Linked DNA regions of Tribolium castaneum. The protein of the gene in region 1 interacts with the protein of each later gene in a biochemical or structural test. Links are inferred from orthologs where the notes say so. Each region holds a gene or a part of one and is shown on either strand. Other genes may lie near its edges.

The links. The genes of interacting proteins can lie anywhere in the genome.
Region 2: the proteins of Arl2 (region 1) and Tbcd form a complex in vitro, tested with the Homo sapiens proteins (2 studies listed by BioGRID and IntAct). The link is inferred for Tribolium castaneum from reciprocal best matches to the Homo sapiens genes ARL2 and TBCD.

What each region holds. Positions count from the first base shown.
Region 1 is NC_087396.1:14,850,656-14,853,780, forward strand, and holds Arl2 (ADP-ribosylation factor-like protein 2), read left to right. Parts: upstream 1-1,474; 5' UTR 1,475-1,571; coding exon 1,572-1,636; intron 1,637-1,722; coding exon 1,723-1,833; intron 1,834-1,880; coding exon 1,881-2,043; intron 2,044-2,088; coding exon 2,089-2,304; 3' UTR 2,305-2,366; downstream 2,367-3,125. Other genes in the region: uncharacterized protein LOC103313727, read right to left, coding at 31-130; protein mothers against dpp, read right to left, coding at 2,367-3,125. UniProt on the Homo sapiens protein: Small GTP-binding protein which cycles between an inactive GDP-bound and an active GTP-bound form, and the rate of cycling is regulated by guanine nucleotide exchange factors (GEF) and GTPase-activating proteins (GAP).
Region 2 is NC_087400.1:8,034,156-8,038,821, reverse strand, and holds the start of Tbcd (tubulin-specific chaperone D), read left to right. Parts: upstream 1-1,615; 5' UTR 1,616-1,694; coding exon 1,695-2,057; intron 2,058-2,096; coding exon 2,097-2,365; intron 2,366-3,124; coding exon 3,125-3,965; intron 3,966-4,300; coding exon 4,301-4,570; intron 4,571-4,616; coding exon 4,617-4,666.

The DNA.
Region 1 (3,125 bases):
CATCGAGGATTCTGTCCGAATGAGATTTACTTCTTCGCGATGAGCGTGAAATTGGAGCGTTGGCTAACGCCACACTTAGGATAAAACAGCTGGTTAAGATAAAAGCAAATATTTTTGTGAGGGTGGCCATTGTTGGACTAGATGGGCGACTTGTCTGGATGCAGTTTTAAATGGGTGTGTTATCGAAAAAGTTGTTAAAAATGCATCTAGATAGTGGCTATGGTCTTTAGTAATGGAATTTTTTACGAAGTGGAGGAGATTAGGTAGACGAGTTAATTGGGTAATAGGTAGTTGTTTGTTAAAACTATGGGATTGTTATTCAAAATCCAGCAATTACAAGAGACTAGTTAAAGCACTTAGTTTAATTTAAAACCGAGTTTGAAACCTATACAAAACATCTACGAAAATTATTGTCTTATTTTCACTAAAAGTAAATAAAACAAAGTTTAAAAAACCCGACACACCAAACCTTTATTTAAAAACACTAAAAGTAGGTAATTTACAAAATTACTTTTTTGTTTCTTATCTTTTCAGGAAAATATTTTGCTAATCAATCAAGAATCACATTTTTGTATTGTTTTATTATTCAAGATTGAGTACTTAATCAGTCAAATAATAATTGTGTAATCTGCTCAAGATACTTTCAGTACATCAGCATTATCTGCAGGGGCGGGTTTAGATTCGTTTACTGGATAATCCTAAAAATACAGTTATGGAATAAATGAAATTTCCAACAATAATTTTAGATAATAGTATTTTGCGAAATCATTTTTTGAAGCAAGTATACATATCTAACATAAAAATTTAGCTCTTTTGACAACAATTAGTTTAAGCAACCTATAGTTTAAGCACGATCATAGCTAAGAAGCTGTTAGACTTCGTTTAAATAAAAGAGTCAATCAAAATTGAAACACATGATTCAGAAAAAAAAACACTTCAGGCTTTTATAAAACAAATTGCATCATACGAATGAATGTTCGAGATTTGATTATTTACAAAATTTATAAAGATAACAAATCGTGGTAAAAAAATTAAGCGACTTTTGTTCATTATACGAATTAGTCGTATTATGTAAATATTTTGATCTATTACCACCAGGTAATTTTTTTTAAAACAAAATAGTTTTGCCTGATAAACGAGCCAATTTTTTGCTCAAAGTACCTACAGTGTATGCACAACGTCCACGCAGGATGGCTTTCAAAAATGATAGAAAGAAGCACATTTTTGTATTTTTTAATGATTGTATTACAAGTTTATTTGTTTATCTTTTTTGAAAAGGTTTTAATATCAAATCATTTTTATTATTCTTTTTTTTAACAAAGAGTCACTTCGAATTATGATTGGTGTTTTTTCTTGTTCGCTTCAGATGTGGCAACTTTTTTGCGAATAAACGGGGTTTTACTGTAGTTGAACAACAAACTTATGTAGGCAATCACCAAAACTCGTGTGTAAAATTACAACATACGTTCTGGCGGTAATGTGACGTTTCTGTCAGATGTCGAAAATCTCAAACGTCATAAAATAATAAGTCTTCGAATTTTTTTATTGTGTCTAATAATTTTTAATACAAAATGGGTTTTCTCACAGTTTTAAAGAAAATGAAGCAAAAAGAAAAAGAAATGCGAATTTTGATGCTGTATCCTTTTATCGTCCAGATCTAACCTCAAAAAACTCATTTTTTGTGCAAAACATCTCACTGTTTTTCTTAATTTTATAATTTAGAGGCTTAGATAACGCTGGGAAAACGACAATTTTGAAAAGGTTTAACGGGGAACCAATTGATACGATTTCACCTACTTTGGGGTTCAATATCAAAACCTTGGAACACAGAGGGTAGGTCTGCTATTCACACTCCGAATTTTCAAAATAAAGTGTTTTAGTTTTACTTTAAATTTGTGGGATGTCGGGGGTCAGAAATCACTACGCTCCTACTGGAGAAATTACTTTGAATGCACAGATGGTCTTATTTGGGTGGTGGACAGTGCTGATAAAAGACGTCTTGAGGACTGTAAAGCTGAGTTACACACTTTACTTCAAGAAGAGGTACATAAATTTGTATGAAACATGTTCGTACTACTTTTTTTTCAGAGATTAGCTGGCGCGACTCTTCTAGTTTTTGCAAACAAACAAGACCTTCCAGGGGCTTGCACCCCTGAAGAGTTGCGTGAAATTCTCGGACTGGATCAAATCAAAACCCACCATTGGCAAATAGCGAGATGTAGCGCTGTTACGGGCGAAAATCTTTTGAAAGGAATGGATTGGTTAATTGACGATATTGCAGCAAGAATTTTCACTTTGGATTAATTTATTCTGTATCAAAATATTTATCTTTTGTACAATATATTTAATAAAAAAGACATAAAATATTAATAGTGTAGTTTGTATGGCGCCCCCATTTGCGTCAAAGTCCTTTGGGTCCACTCCAGATGTCGCAGAAAGCGCACTTCAAGCCAACAAGGCTTCTCAGTAATCCCCCCAACTTCGTTACCCCAACCCTCCACAAAACTGATTCGAACGGTGCACACTTTAGCTAAGCTGTAAACAGCCTCCCAACCCTTTGCCACCTCCGCAGATAACATTTCGTGAAATTCGTCATCACGGAACAGTTTCATGTGTCTGCACCGAAACGGCGACAACTTACAAATAGTACCACCCGGGTAGTTTTTAAGCCGATTGTAAAACCGCGAATTGACGTAGAGATCCGAATCGGACCACAACTGCACGTAAATCTGCCCCTTAACATAGTGCAGAGTAATCCCTCTCCCAATCTGCTGCCTTGTATTTTTCACCGTCCACTCGCGTCCCGCATTTTCCTTCTCGAACAAATTAAACCTGTCGTTTCGCTGCGGTCCTCCTTGTAAGCAATGCACCCAAGCGGAGAGTCCTTGGCAAGGAAACGCGTCCCCAATTCGCGACCCCTTCTCGTAGTAATAAATCGTTGCCCAAACCGGGGACGCTAGAACTGGGTCCAAGGGTGGAAGCAGTCGGTGGTGTCTGTAATGACACGGGTTGAGGCAAATCTCCATTTGGTGGGCCGAAAAACAGAAATTTCGCGGCTGCAGCTCGAAAATAAGGTGGGAGAGACTGCGCCGTAAGTGCGACCATCGCCAGACTTGGCCGTGGAT
Region 2 (4,666 bases), on another chromosome or scaffold:
AAAAAATAGAGGGTGACCCAGGGTCACCCAGGGTTTTTTATTATTTGTAATATTGCTATATCGTTTTCACTTTCCGATAGATCGACTTAAAGTCCACAAACCAAAATTTTTTTTATTGTACACATGGTGTTGTATACAGAGTGGTGAATCAAAGTTACATTTTTTTTAAATCGAACACTCAATATTTTTTTGCATAATTGGAATCTACGTAAAAAAATAATGTAACTTTATAGAAACTATTATGGGTCTATCTTTGTTCGTTTCAAAATTATTCAACTTTTCGTTATAAAAAAAAATTTTTTTTAAAATCATTGCGAAATCGGCTATAAATATTTTTCGAAAAATTTGCAACGGAAAAACTCAGAATACCCTATAGTTTTAGTAATAGTCGACTTTTACTTGAAACATTTAGATAATGTACAGGTGTGCCAAAACGCAAAAAGTTGGATAACTCATTTTTTTTTCAAATTGAACACCATTAATTTTTTATACGTATGAATAGCTTTTTTATAAGCTTTCTAATGATATGCGGTTTGTTCAACAAATTTGAAACATTTCTTAGTGTTTTTTTTATTTTTTTATTTATTTTATTATAAATTCTTGATCAGCAAAATTCATTTATATATCAGGTAATAATTAGTTTGCTAATGTAATTAGTCACATTAGTACATATAAAAAATAAATTACCATTTGACTTATCAGATTCTAAGATAACAAATTTTCTTGTAAAAAAATCTTTTTTTTTCAAAAATCTCGAGAAATATTTTAAATTTGCTATGCAAACTGCATACCGTTAGAAAACTTATCAAAAATGCTATCAATACATGAAAAAAATACAGGTTGTTCCCTTTGAAAAAAATTAGTTATTTAACTTTTTGCGTTTTAGCACTCTGTATATTATCTACATGCTTTAACTAAAAGTCGTTTATTTGCTAAAACTACAAGATATTCTGAATTTAGCTTAGATACAGCCTAAATTAAAACTGACTAATGAATAAATGTAAGCATTAAAATGTGAAAAACTGGAAATATTCTACATTTTTTCCTCAATGGCTTACACATATTTTTTAAACTGTCCTTAAACATATTTCCTTGGAAATCTAAATACTAAATTAATAATTAGAAAAACTTTTACATATTGCGTCAACAAGAGCAAACACTGTTCCGTTTTAATTAAGTTCCGTGATTACTCTAATTTTTAAGCCTTGTGGAGATAAAACTTTGAATTATTTCCGTCCAATTCACAAATCCTCTCAGCTAAAAAATAGCTTTCTAATTTCGGATATAGTAATTATAACGTCAAACAATGAAGAAAAACAAACGAAATTAAAATTTGATAAGGTGAGAGATCACCCTTTAATTAAGTAACTCATAAACTCGCTAAATAATTAACGGATTCTTTCAAGCGTTGAAAAAAAATGTTAATATTTTATTGCCCTCATTTAACAATCATTTTTTCTAAGTTCCAAACATAAAAAAACAGTATTTTTAGCCACAAAATACACAGAAACAAAATGTACAAAAAAAGTGTCTTTTAATTGTGCTTTGAATAAATAATTAAAAAAAAAATCCAGGTTTTGCTAGCAACATGCGCCCATTGTCCTGCAACCAGTAAAACAGTAGTCGAAACTTAACCTCACAATTTCTAATTTTTCGTGACATCTGTAAACAAAAGACCTTTTTATCGCAAAAACATGTCAACAAGTGAAAAAAACAAGCCTTCAGATATGGAAGAGGAGCCTTTCGGTCTTGGCTGCGCCCTTGAATTGTTCGTCGAAGCGACCGAAGTTTCAGAAATGATAGACACCCTTAAATCCATTTATTCGGATAAAGCCCTCAATGAGAAGGCGTACGAGCGTTTTAGCTTCATCATTGGTCAGTATAAAGAACAGCCCCACTTGCTGGACCCCCATATTGACCACCTTTTGGAAAAATGTATCAATATCGTACGAGATGGGGGCTCCAGTATGGACTTGAAACACGAAGTTTTTAAGTATATGTTCGTGTTTGTTAACGTGAGGGGGTACAAAGTGATAGTCAGGCATCTTCCACATGAGGTAGGGGGGCCCTAGGCAGGCTTTAAATGAAGATTTCAGGTTTCAGATTTTGAAGCCGTTTTAAGACTTTTAGAATCACAAGACTGTGATGATTCAATCACTTGGACCACTAGATATGTACTATTGTTGTGGTTATCAATAATTGTCATGATTCCGTTTCACTTATCACGATTTGATGCAAATGATGAAAGCGAGAAAGAGAAGAAAACAGTGATGTGTAGGGTTTTGGACATTATCAAGAAATATATTGTGGTTCCTGATAAGTGCAGGGACGCTGCGGCTTATCTCTCGTCGCGTTTTATCACAAGGTAAGTGAAAAAAATTATAACTTCACTTTTTCAAATTTCCCGCCCTTTGTCTCTTAAGGCCTCCTTTCACGCTTTGCTTAACAAACAGATGGCGCTTGTTTACGACCACTACCTCACTTTTTCAAAAGTGCTTTCTGTCACTTAAAAAAACTCAGTTTTAATTTATTTTAATATTGATTTTGTCAAAAAAAAGTATATAATCCAGGAGATGAATTTCTTCGAACAGTTTTGGTTGATATTTTGGAACGAAATCCTGGGAGCTATCACACATTGCCCAGGTCTGTAATACTCTAAAATCTCATTTGGAAAAAAAATCGGGTTCTAAAGAATTAAATTTTGGAATTTAAATTATAAGAAAATTAAATTTGTGGCTTCTTATACCAACCAAGCAATTTTTCAGATTATTCTAGCTACTGTTTTTTAATCTGTTTTTGTCGAGTTGGGAAATAATGTAACTGGTTATGGCTCTAAGTACTATATTATATTTTTTTACAAAATATTAAAATAGTTTATGAATCCTGACTGAAATATGAAGATTTTTTGTGTTTTTTTGTATTTTTATCTAGTTTTCTTGTTCTTTTTTATTCATCTAAGAAATTCTAAAATTCTTGACAAACGTATAACTTTTTGCCTTTAATCTTTTTAATCATACGTAAAATACAAGTCACACTTAACTAAATTTGGTCTTCCAACTGTCACTTTCCCCTTTGTTTGGCCACAAGATGGCGCTTCTTGTGACACAGCCGTCCCTGTTTTTAGAAATGACGTCAAACAGGAGCACCTATTGTCTTACATCGAGTGGTCAATGGTTGAAAGTACCTCCTCCGAGAGTACTATTTTCACAAAACAAGGAACTTTAGCCTCAATCGCCATGATTTTGAAAACCGGAAAACGCGACGATTTACTCCCTCATGCCCGTCCCCTCCTCCAATGGATAATCCGTGACGAAATAAAACATAATTCCGGTACCAACGTCCAAAAACTTGTCTATAAAATCGTCCAAAGAATAGGTTTGACGTTTCTACCTCCCAAAGTGGCCGCTTGGCGCTACAAACGCGGCAATCGTTCATTGGCTGCGAATTTAAGTGGGGGTGATGGTACCACCTCCTCTCACGACACGCAAGAACCCCTCCCAGAAGATAATATTGAGGTTCCTGATGAAGTCGAGGAGGTTATAGACCAGTTAATTAACGGTTTGAGGAGTTGTGATGGGATTGTGCGATGGTCGGCTGCAAAGGGAGTAGGCCGGGTAACCGGTCGGTTACCTCAAGAACTGGCCGATGAAGTGGTCGGTTCGGTTTTGGAGTTGTTTAGTCCGAGAGAGGGGGATGGGGCGTGGCATGGCGGCTGTTTGGCATTGGCTGAATTGGGGAGGAGGGGCTTGTTGCTACCGAAACGGTTACCGGAGGTGGTACCGGTTGTACTTAAGGCGTTGGTCTATGATGAACCGAGAGGATATTCCTCTGTAGGATCACATATAAGGGATGCAGCGTGTTATGTGTGTTGGGCCTTTGCAAGGGCCTATGATAAGGATGTTTTAAAACCTTTTGTTAATCAGATAGCTGCGAATTTGTTGATCGTCGCTTGTTTCGACAGAGAGGTAAGGATCTAAGCTACTGGATTCTATCAATTTATCGTACTGTGGTTTTGACAATGATAGAAAATCAAACTATTTTTTTTTCTTTTTTTTGCGCTCACTCACTTGTCTGGTGCTATCATCTGTTTTTGATAGTGACAGCGGCTTTTTTCTTTTATATTACTGAAAATCAATGAATTTCCGCTCAGTCTTTCATATTTTGTCTTTTTTTTTGGCATTTATCATGTTTTGACAATGTAAAAAGTCGCGGTTTAGTGTCAAAAACGGAGGGTTTTTGACTTTGACAAAATGCAGTTGTACTTTTGGGTTATCTTCTTTGTGATTGGTCCAAACTTCAGATCAATTGTCGACGAGCGGCCTCTGCCGCCTTTCAAGAAAACGTCGGACGTCAAGGAACATTCCCGTACGGAATTGACATTTTGACAGTTGCTGACTTTTTCACTGTCAGTGTGCGAAACAACGCCTACTTGACCATAAGTCCGTACATCGCCCAATTCGGCGAATACACCATCCCAATGATCGACCATCTAGTTGGCCGAAAAGTCGACCACTGGGATTGCGTCATTCGGGAATTGACAGCCAAAGCTTTGCATAATTTGACACCAAAAGTAAGATTTTGTCATCTCCTTCAATTGTTTGATTGTTTGATCGAAGGCGCCTGAATATATGGTAACAAAAGTGTTACCAACCTTGTTCGACAGAAG